Caenorhabditis elegans: one gene and its partner. The protein of the gene in region 1 interacts with the protein of each later gene in a pairwise test. Each region holds a gene or a part of one and is shown on either strand. Other genes may lie near its edges.

Region 1 (7,965 bases):
ACAAAAACTCTACAAAATCATGTGGAAAAGCGTTCTACATCCAATTGAAAATCGTCCGCCCCCTAACCATGGGTCTCGTTAGGCATTTGGTGGCAAAACGATAAATTCAAACGTTTTCAATTAGTTTCGCCAACTTCAAACATTTTTTCTCTTTTTTGGCTATGCTTTAAAATCATTCCGACGTAAAAATCATCAAAAACAAAGGAAAACATGCTTGAAATTGGCGAAATAATTGAAACTGTTTGAATTTACGGTTTTGCCCACAAATACCTGACGAGACCCATTATTCGGAGGCGAAGCGTTTTCAGTTGGCTATGGAGCGCGTTTCGATTTATAAGTGGGCATTTTTCTGCCTCCTTATAATAAATCATATAGTTTTCACATTATTATTATATTTTTCAGTTCGCTGCTGTTCGTTACGATGCTTTCAAAGGAGAACATCTTCGTCCACCAATCGTGATGCGTCCACCAGAAACATTCCATAGTGTATATGCGATGCTCTCGAAGTTTAATTGAGTTGCGGCTCCAACCTATGATCTATGAGTATCACAACGAATCCGTCGCCTTCAAGCTTCTCTCTTAATCAATTTTCTATCGAAATCTGGCACTGTTTTTTTTTGAATATACGCTGAATGTTTTCTTCTCTCCTTCTCTCCCAATCAAAATCCCACTGCATTTGCATTCTTTTGTCAATCAAAACAAAAAACAATCGATTCTTCTTTCTGCGATCATTTTCAATTAAAAACTATTCCCTCGTTGTCCCAATTTCACATTATTATATATTTTGTATGATTACCGCGAAACACTTTTGAGAAATGAATATTCAAAACTGTATTGAGCTCTCACTACTGCTTTTTGATGGAAACAAAATTACAAAAAAAAGGTGATTTTTTCATAAAACTGTTCATTCGCATTGATCGCTATCATCGAAACTTGATAAGAAAAGAAGAAATCAAATAAACCATTTTTAGAGAACAATTGGGAGCTGTGGTGGGGGACTGTATGAAGCATTTAAAAAGAAACAATTGATAAATATCAATTAATAAATTAGAGCAAAAAAGTCGAATCAGTGTGATCGGGGAGAGAAAAAGCTCAGGAAAATAACGGGAATAACTGAAAACGACGTGGAAGAAGAGCTGTCAGGAAAAAAAGTTTTTCAGAGAAAATGAAAAACGAGAAAAAATTGAGTAAATAGCAGATAATCACAAAAAAATTTAGCGGGGATATTTATAAGCAACAAATAATTAAATGAACCGAGAAGAAAGAGGAGCAACGTTTTTAGAGCACACAATTACACACACAAGAAGAGTTGGCACCAGTTGCCACGTTTCAATAAGAAAGCGTGGGAAAATATGCTTTGTAAGGGATTTAAAAAACAAGTACCTATGATTTAAATATGATAAATAGAAAATCTGATTAAAGTTAAGATTGGAAAGAACCGCGCATTCGTCTACATGTTATAATTCTCCGCTTCCTCATTCGATTGCTTCATATCAGATAAAACTCTGAAAATTGCACATTTTTCATGTAGAAAGAGGAACGGGTAGCTGCTTACCTAGCAAATCGATTCCATTCTTCGCTCTTCAACACGTACAAACTTTCCCGAACATCATACATATGTACTCGACCCTCATCATCACCAACGAACACGTGTTTTCCTGAAAAATACGGATTTTAAAATTTTTAGTCCAATACATTCAGTTTCATTGTAGGATTTTGCATTATTAAAAAAAATTGCTTCTTACCATCAGGTGACCAAATCAGTCGATTCATATAAACAGATTCTCCTTCGGCTCCGGCGCGAAGTCTTGCAACTGGTCCTTCAACATCCTCATTCAAATTCCACACGAAAATCTGAAAACGTTAAAATATAATATTGTTGAAATTAAACGATCGATCAAATGAATTTTGCAAAAAGAACAGAGGCGGAGCGTATTTTCGCAATCCTGCGGCACAGTTTTTTTCCTTTTTTTCGTCCGTATTCCACTGCTTTTTTGTTGATTTTTTCAATAAAGTCTCGATTTTACTCGTTTTCAGAATGTAAAGGTTATCCAATTCTGCTCGGCGCTGTTTTTTGCAAAATTTACTGATCGATTTCTATAAATTCAGTCAAAATAAAAATAAATCTCTCACATTTCCATCAGCATCAATAGATGCAAACACAGCTGGATGAACTGGTGACCATGCAACATCCAAAACGAGATCAGGATGTGATTCAAATGAGAATTTTAAATTTGCATCTTTTGTGCTCCATAGCTTCACTGTCCAATCGTGAGATGAAGAAATAAAAAGATGTGAGAAGTCGACAACACCAGAAGCTCTATGAAATTCAATTCCCGTCAGAGTACCACTGTGACCTGAAATTATTTATTTAAAATTTTTATCAAGATAAAATTCACATTTTTGACTGCTCAAAATTTTTTCGATTTTTGGAAAAAAAATACAGTACGCCCTTGTTGCTAACTCCTAGTTTTGGTGGAATTTTTTTTCTTCATTTTTTTTCCTCTTTTCTTGAAAATTTGATGTACTTTTAAATTTTTTGAAAATAATTCAAGAAAAATCGGTCGCTTCGAGACCTAAATCCCAACCTTTGTAACAAACGTCAGTTTTAATGACAGCTGGATCAGCTCCATTCCTTGATGCAGCAAGAATCTCTCCAGTATCTGTTCCAACGACAAATGTTTGCATTTCACCGATTGGGAATGACATTCTGGTGGCGGAAGCCTGGAAATTCGAATTTTTTGTTTCAAAATTATTTAATATCGATAAAAACCATACAGCTTTTCCTTCCTTTGTCATCAGTTCTTTTCCATCCACAGGTTGTGTCAAATTATCGACATTCCAACTGCAAATTCGTCCGTCTCGACTTAATGAAACAAAGTTATGAGCATTTTTGGTACCAACGACAGCAAGACATGATACAGTATACGTGTGAGCTTGAGTTGTTAGAGGACTCTGGAAAAATGAGTTAACATCGGATAGAAATTAAAATAATTTAATCAATTTTCGTAGAACTTTTTTGAAAAAAAAAACTTCAAAATTTTCAAGATACGTAACAGTAACATTACTGTTGTAATTGAAGGATTGATGTGCAAATTTTGAAAAAAAAACAGCGTCGCACAGAAATAGAGGCGGGGCGTAATTTCGCAACAATGCGGCACGGTTTTTCTCCTTATTCTTCGCTCGTTTTCTACTGCCTTTTTTATTTTTCAATTAAGTTTCGATTTTACTTGTTTTTTTGGCATGAAAATGTTGTCCAATTTAATTCTCATACGATTTTGACGATATTTCATGCTAAATAGGTTTTAAAACATGAAATATTTTTATAACTTACGAGAATTTATGTATATGATAATATTTTCATTTAAAAATTAAACTAAAAAGTAAAATCGAGACTTTATTGAAAAGAGCAGTTGAAACGGGGGAAAAAAGAGAAAAAATCGTGCAGCAGGTTTGCGAAATTACGCGCCGCCTCATTTTCTGTGCAACGCTTTTTTGCAACAGGAAACTTTGATTTTTTCTCAGGTTTTTTAAAGTTTAAAATACAAAAAAAACTCACTCTATTTATTGGCAACTTTCGACTTGTCAATCGATTATCCCATACACAAATCTGTCCAGATTCACATCCAGCGAGAAGCAAATGAGCATGGAAACGAGCAAAAGCGACGGATTGAATTTCAGATTGACAATAGACAATGAATTCAGCAGTCATTCGCTTCGACTTTGTATTCCAAACGACAATAACACCGGGTGGCTCATTTGGAATGTCACATGGCTGAAAAAGAAAGGAAATTAATAATCATGTATATAGTTTTAAATGTTAATTACCCCATAAGAAACAGCTAACAAATCAGGATAATGCTCAGAAAATGCCATTCCTGTAACTAATCGTTTAGCAGTCCATGTCTCATCTTGATATACTTGTGCCAAATGAAGTAGATCATCAGATGCAATAGCTTTCTCATATGGATCTTTAGTGTAGTTAATACAAATGTCAATTTCCTCGTTGAGAGCACGACTGATTACTTTGCAAGAGCGATTGAAAGAGTCCTGGAAACAAAACCATAAGCTTCAGTCATGAATTAAAAATTGAATTAACTTTTGGGCAGTTAAACATATTTTTTCACAAAAATGCCAACCTCATATTTTTTAACTCACCAAAAACTCAGGATCAAGAGTCAAACGATATTTCTCTTCATCACTAAGTGGTGGAACAATCTGAACAGTTTGTGTCTTTTTCTCTTCAGTCTCCTGTCGTGTCAGTCCCTTGTCTCCCTGCTTTGTCTGTCCCAGAAGTTTTGCAATTTCTTCGTTGTAAGGAAGTGGGGAATCTTGATCGTGTGAGTGAGCACGACCTGAAACCATGAATTTTAAAATTATGGTGTTCGAGTAAAACTGAAATTCAGGAAAAAAAAACCATGCACAAACCTCTGAACTGACCGTGATCCATTGGCATAATCATATCATCATCATAATCGAATTCTTGGCTTCCTAACGAAAATTCGCCGACTGAAATTCGCTCATCGTCAGTCTGGGTTCCTTTCGAGTAAATTGCCTGGAAAATTTTAATACTAAAATCATTAAAAAAAGCAGGAATTCGAGTTTTTAAAATTAATTCTCGATATTTTCCCTCGAAAAAAATAAAGCTTACCGAATCTTTGTTATCCGTGCACGCTGTCTGTACACTGGAAAATTCCAAGTCGACTGAAAGGAGATTTGAAATGCGTGGATGGCTGGCTGATGGATCCACATGATTATCAGAATGAGAACCAGGAGGTGGTGCCGGAGATTCTTCCCGAACTGTTGGCTCAGTTGAAATACCTACTTGACGGAGAATATCCTCGACCTAAAAAATAATTTAGTTAAAAAGTAGAAATATGATTGTGAAACTTGTAACAGTTTAATTTTCAATTTCTTGACGCGAAATTCTGAAATGTTTGAAAAAATACAGTGTCAGGCCTCTACACGACAAAATTTTGTTAATTTCAAAAAGGTATGCGCCTTTAAAAATTACTGTAGTTTAAAACTCTCTTTGCTGCCGATTTTCAGAAATTTTCATTGGTTTTCTCGCAATTTTTTAAATGGAAAACTTAATTATTTTAAACGAAAAACTATGAAAAATAATAAAAAATTGTCGTGTCGAGACCGGGTACAGTATTTCTAGGCAAAAACTCTAAAAATTTCGAGTCGGGATAATAGAACATAATAATATACCTCATTCGATGAAAGAGTCTGTCGAGACGTTCCATTCTGTGTTGTTCCATTTTCATTTGTGGAACGGAGCAGATTTTGAACTCGAGCATCTTCTTCACGTTTCCGCTGAGATTTCAGCTCTGCCAATTTCTGCTTTTTACGTTCAAGTTCGAGTTTCCTCAGTTCTGACATTCTGAAATAAAATTGTTTTTTCTAAACCTAAAAAATGTAGTTTTGAAAAAAAGGCAATTCAGAGAAGGAAATGTTGTTTCGAAATTCAAAAGCAGATGGTAGAATTAGAGATAGAGAGAAGTTCGAGATATCTACGAAGGACATCATCATCTGTTTTTTTTTGTTTTTTTTTAATGTTAGCGATGAATAATGGAGTGTGACTTCAATTAATTAAAGGCGTTGTATCGTATTTGGAGGATTTTCTTTGCTTAAAAGACCTCAATATACCAAAAAACTGGAAAAATTATAGAATTTTTCTAAATTTTTCAAGATTTTTTATTTAATTTTGCAACAAAAAAGTGGATTTATTTTTGAGTTCCCGAGCAAATGAATCAGCTAGTTTCGACATTTTTTCATTTTAGTTTTTCCTAGGAGGAAATTTCCTTCATGTTTGATATAAAACATCGTTTGCCAAGAAAGCCAAAATAATATAAACAGCCGGAAAACGAAAAAAAAAACAAAATGACCATTTGTGCGAGAATTCAAAAATAATTAAGCCATTATTATTTTTTTATTTCTGCAAACCTGAAAAAATCATTAAAAATTTAGAACAATTCTATAAACTTTTTTAGATTTATAATAGGTGTATTGAGACTGTTTTCTGTCATTTTGGGAAAAAAACCAAAGAAGCTACTCCAGTTTCAAGGGAATTCAGGGATTTAGGCGAAACTGGAACTCTGATAACAAAGAATTTGAAAGAAACAAATGTTGAAATTGTTTTTCCTTCCTTCCTGTTATGTGTGTATGTACTTACTGTTTTCTCTACTATTCTATTCCCTCCACTCATACACATACCTGAAGATATCAGAGACACAAAAAGATAGGAAATATGATAGATTGAATGAAACTTAGGAACACCTAGAGTAGTTAGAGAGAGCTGTAAAAAGAGTATTTACAATAATTTGAGGGATCAACTAGAGAGAGAGAGAGAGCACACTAGAGTGGAGAAGCGCAGATAATGAAACGACAGGGGACAAACTGTGCCGACACCACACAAGCCGATCCGTCGCAAAGGTCGCTAACATTAGAGAGTTAGAGAGGAAAAGAGAAAAGGAGCTGTCGATCTTTGCTGGTAGGACGGACAGCGGCGGGAAACTACGAGAACAGAGGGAGCGGTAGGGCGCAGATTTGATGGAAATTTCAAATTAAAAAAATTGTTATCGTCGAATTAGAATTTCCTCTTGAGTAATTGTATTGATCCTACGTTGCATTTTAGATTCAAACTGAGAATTAGGAATCGTAACCAGTTTTATTTTTTGAATGAGAATATTATTCAATTTTATTCTCGTGAAATTGTGAGAATATTTCATGCTAAATTGTTTGCAAAAACATGAAATATTGAAAAACGAAAAAACATTGAAAAACGCTTGAAAATAGCAATTACACCCGTCTGTCTTCCTGTGCAACCAAGATTTTTTTGAAAAATTTACGGATCGCTCGAATAAAAAATTTTATAATGTCAGATTACGTTTTAGATCCAAAAAAAATTAGGCTGAATCCGTTTTTGATTCTCTAGAATTTTGTTTAGCCAAAAAACATCGCATTGTTCTCTCTGTCGTTATTAAAGTGCGCAATTAACAAATATTCAAAAATTCTTATTTAAAAAACCATAGGGGGTTCCCTAACTATTGCGAAATTCTCTTTCTCTCTCGGACATTACTATGAGAGATTGAACCAATTGAAGAGACGCAGTGCTAGGAAGGGAATGCGCCCTGGCGCCACATATGGTCTAAGTCTCTCTGAATCGTGTGCTCTCTACATTGGGTCGACTCTGCGAGTGCTTTTGAGCGGCGCCGAGACCGAAATAAGAGAGAAAACAGAGGGAAAAAAGATAGGGAACATTAATTGATGAAAAAAGAAACAGATGACGTGGCAATTCTTCTTTCCGGAGTTTTTTTTTATTGGAAGTGGGGTTATTCAAGTAATGTAGCAAAATGTATTTAAATACATTTGTGACGTCACAAATGTATTTAAATACATGTTTTTATATACTTGAATAAGGTTGTGACGTAATTTTTCTACACTTTTTAATTTTCCGACACTACTTGAATAACCCCAAAAGTGTACGGTTTCTTTTTTCAAAACACGATTGCAACCAAAGGCGCCGGATTTTTGAATTTTTCAAAAATCGGAAGATTTAAAATTTTCGCTTTTTTATTTTTATTACTTGATAAAAATTGAATTTTATGGTGAAATTTCAAAATTTGTTTTGGCTTTTCAGTTGTCCGGAAAATCGAAAATGTTTGTTTTTCGATTCCCACTGAAAAAATCGAATTTTTTCGATGAAACCTTTGATTGCAATGTTAGAAAAATTTCTAAAAAATTAACAAGAACACTGGAACAACACAAAATCACAATAATCAACACCGGACCATTGGTACCGTATAAAAAGAAAAAAAAATCGAATTAATTGTAATAGTTCTGAAAATCTTTCATAAATACCCATTTTGAATATAATTATTTCTTAATAAATATATAACTTACAGAGAAAAAAATTTCGGGGACGTTAAGGCTCATAGAAGAACACACGAAAATTAGGTA
Region 2 (3,971 bases), on another chromosome or scaffold:
ATAGTCACACTTTTTCAGCAACTTATAACTGATTTGAAGACGACGAAGCCGATGGTTGAGAACAATTGTAAATTCTGGGCTGATTGCATCGCCAAACTTACTTCTCAAAAAGCTTATCGAAGTGTTAGAACTTTGAGCGCGGAACTACTTCCAATGTGCCTTGGAACGCAGATTTTTATAGAAGTATCCAAATGCTGTTCTATTGCTGCAAAAGACTCGAAGACTCCTAACACTGAAGATCATGAGATCATTGAGCTTAACTACCAACATCACATGAAAAGAGAAGAGGATATCAATCATGAGGACTAGTGAGTTTCAGTTCTTGATGGCAAAACAAATATTTCCCAAGTTAGATTAGCATCACTATCTATGGAAATTAATAATGAAAATTATTTTGATTTTTATTTCAGAATTCCAGCCACATGTATCCTCGTGACTGATGACGTGCATTCTCGCAAAGGCGACTAAGTTCTTTAAATTTGATTGTGTTTATTTATTTGAGTTTTCACTTTATTAATTCTTGTATGGTTCTTGTATGGTAGTGACAAATTTGTATTTTTTCTGTTTAGGCTACATTTTATTGCTTGCTCTTTCCATGTTTTTCTTGTCTTGCATTTTCATTTCATGCTAATTATCATTTGGTTTCTTCAAGTTTGTTCGGCATAATTTTTGACTGTTTCAAAAATAAAATATTGTTTTGAAATACTCCAGGCGTACGGTAGTACTATACGATTATTAATACCACCAATTTTCCAACGACAGATTGAAAAAAATTGTTTTTTTTTGTTGCAAAATTTTTTTTTTTTGGAGAGTATTTATTCAAAGCGAACAAGATTCAATGGGTGATATATTCATCATTAGTGCCTATGACTTCTTGCCAACGCAACGGAAGCTAAGCAATACCCTCCGCACAGAACTTCTGAGAGGTAAAGTAGAAAGTCGTCCAATCACGTTTCGACGACCTTTCGATCATGAAACTTATGCCTGGCAAGGTGATTTTAGAGAACGGAACAGATAGTAGTTAGTAGGAACCAAGTTTGGCGAATACGGAGGGTGAGGCAAAAATTGGGCAAATACTGTTTTACTACTTGATCTTTTACTACGTATCTCTTTTACTACAACATCTCTTTTACTACGGAATCTCTTTTACTACGAATTCCGCATCTAGATCTTTTACTACAGTTAGCTCTTTTACTACGTGATATCTTTTACTACGATTTGACCACATAGATCTTTTACTACGGAAAATACTTTTTTACTACCTTATCTTTTACTACGTGGATGTTTTACTACGTTTTACTCTTTTGCTACGGACGTATTTTTACTACGTGGAGGGACACTGTTCTAAGCATTTTCAAAAGAAAAAACAACTGCATATAAGCCGTTTATTTGGAAAAAATATCTGATATAAATTAAAATCGCACAAGCAGGGTAGAAAGATATAATGCTTTTTCATTATTTTTGAATGTTGGTCCCAGTTTTTACGAGAGGTCCTTGATAACCATAATGACGTGATCCTTGTCTGGAGCAATCATGATTTCGTTCTTCTTCGTTCGAAGCCTCAGGAATGTTAGATCATTGCTCGAATCGAGTTCACGAATGGAAGTCTTTGTCTTCTCACATAACTGCTGCAGGAATGCGGTGTGAGACTGGGTGGCGTCGCTGTCGATTGTCGAATGAATAACTCGGCCTGAAAAATATCTAGTTTCATGGAAAACAGTTATTGTTTATTGGTCAAAGCTTATGGAAAATTAGTTGTCAAGGTTTGGTGGTAATTCCCATTCGGCTGAGACCACACTAACTTTTCTAAATGTTACTTTCTAGTTTCTAAACTTTTACAATTTCTATTAATTTTGTTTTTTTTTTAATTTTGATTTTACATTTCTAAACAATTTTCAGGATAGAATTATCTAGGAAAACGTACCGGCTGAATCGACAACAATAATTCCAACGACTCCTTTCTCTGACTGTAGACGGCGAATAGTCTCCTCGAAATCAGACATCTGAAATCAAATGGAAATTGATAAGTTTGTAAGATGGAAGAAAAATAAGCACAGAAATGCAATTTTTCACTTGCTGGTCGACTGAGAACTGCCAAAATTTTCTCCATTTTCCACTTGAGGAGATATAAATTCAATTTCCTTTCGTCGGATATTGAAAACTTGGCGACGAGAAAACGAAAAGAAGATATTCAAAAGTTGGGCACAACTTTTGGCATAAAAACAAAATAACACAAAATAAGAAGTGAGCATGTTTTTTATAAATACCACATAGCAATTTCACAAGTTTTCAGTTATAAAAAATTGAGTTCAAAAGAAACGATTAGAGATCTCAAAAGTTAGAAAAAATAATTCCGGAGTGTATGGAACAAGGAGCAGTGACCAATGGAAGGGGAATACATAAATACGGAAAAGTAAGAAGATAGAGAAAGGAAGAAAGATAAGTTGTGACGAAAGAAGGGGCGGATTCTGATTCAATTACTGCCGCTTTGCCTTTTTGGAGGAAGAAGGTGCATACTTGGCAGCCAGTGAATCGAGGAACGACGTGCCACGTTCCTTCTGGCGACCTTGAATCAGGGCGACAAGATCCGAATTGTTCTGGAAATTAAATAATTATGCATATGAATATACTAAAAATGTAACCTAACGGTAAATGATAAAACTTATAAATAAAGTGACAGATTTTACTGCCATGACATACCTGTGTCATGTTCTCAACTTCGATTGCCTCCTTCTCAGCCTTACGCTTGTAAGCCTTCATCTTCTTCTGAAATAAAACATAAATTTTAACATATTTCACCTGCATTACTTACATCTGAAGTGCTCGTTTCATATTTCTTCGTCTTCTCAATTTCTCCATCATCAATAAGTTTATCCAATGCTTCTTTCAACTCTTCGACGCCATCGAATCCGATAGCATATTCTCTGATTTTCGCGATATCTCCATTGAATTTCTCGTAATGCACAACGAGCTCATCCTTCTGTTCACGAGATCCTTGATACGTCTTCATGAAGCTATCGATATCCTCTTTTGTCACCTTTTTGAAAATCATTCTCCATGCTTTCAAGGCATCTTCATTCAGCTCTCCAGCCTCATCGTCCACTGATCCGGTTTCATCGTAAATTTTCCTTTTCTCTTCATCGGAAAGAATTTGATAAGCTTTGTTGAGAAGCTGAAACTTCGTTGTGTACGTCTGCATATCTTCTTCTACAAGATTCGATTTATCCGGATGCCAGCGCATTGATTGGCGGTAGTATCCTTTTTTAACTAAAAAATAAATTTTCGCTAACTTTAAACATTTGTTTCCCAAAAACTTACGAGCTTTCTCATCGCAATCTTTCTTCACGCCAAGAAGCTCGTAGAGACAATCCGTATTGAAGTGAGTTTTGCATTCTTCCAGAAACATAATCAGCTGGCTGAAAAATGGAAGAAATCAATAGAAAACAGTTGCGAAAGAGTGAATACCACTGGGAGAAGAACGTTCAAATAAAATGACTGGAATCGCAAATTTGCTCTAACGAACAAATAAAAAAGCGCCATGTTCAAACACGAGTTTCGGTCAGAATTGAATTTAAAAAATGCAAAATAGACATGAAATTTCTGCAGAAACGCGTTACCTACTAATATTTATATTAATGATAACAGGAGTGGATGAATATAAATTATTTGGAGCGTTGTTTGTTGCCTAATACACGAAGAAATGTATTTAACAGAAATGGATCATGGAAATGACTTTAAATTCAATTTTAAGTCAGGAGTTTTAAGATTGGGGTTAACTATTGCGAAATTTTTTTATTTTACTTTTACAATATTTTTCAATTTATTCTTAATTTCGTGCTGAAGAATAGAAAAAATCGATAAAAAGGAGTTGAAAATTAAATAAGAAAAAAAACAAATTCAAAAAACTCCATGAGACTGTGATTCGTGGTGAGACCTTGTCATCTGAAACTCGTATGCACCTTTAATTAACA

What was found. Proteins that work in one complex are often made in the same cells at the same time.
Region 2: the proteins of dyci-1 (region 1) and dyrb-1 interact in a two-hybrid assay, tested with the Caenorhabditis elegans proteins (3 studies listed by BioGRID).

Annotation. Positions count from the first base shown.
Region 1 is NC_003282.8:6,778,955-6,786,919, forward strand, and holds dyci-1 (WD_REPEATS_REGION domain-containing protein), read right to left. Parts: upstream 5,387-7,965; 5' UTR 5,386-5,386; coding exon 5,215-5,385; intron 4,847-5,214; coding exon 4,652-4,846; intron 4,556-4,651; coding exon 4,429-4,555; intron 4,356-4,428; coding exon 4,159-4,355; intron 4,051-4,158; coding exon 3,829-4,050; intron 3,776-3,828; coding exon 3,560-3,775; intron 2,956-3,559; coding exon 2,779-2,955; intron 2,725-2,778; coding exon 2,589-2,724; intron 2,358-2,588; coding exon 2,134-2,357; intron 1,855-2,133; coding exon 1,746-1,854; intron 1,659-1,745; coding exon 1,556-1,658; intron 1,506-1,555; coding exon 1,451-1,505; 3' UTR 891-1,450; downstream 1-890. Other genes in the region: anat-1 (N-acetyltransferase domain-containing protein), read left to right, coding at 403-516.
Region 2 is NC_003280.10:9,105,143-9,109,113, forward strand, and holds dyrb-1 (Dynein light chain roadblock), read right to left. Parts: upstream 2,004-3,971; coding exon 1,925-2,003; intron 1,691-1,924; coding exon 1,482-1,690; 3' UTR 1,373-1,481; downstream 1-1,372. Other genes in the region: T24H10.5 (uncharacterized protein), read left to right, coding at 19-309; dnj-23 (J domain-containing protein), read right to left, coding at 2,478-2,597, 2,701-2,766, 2,813-3,267, 3,319-3,406.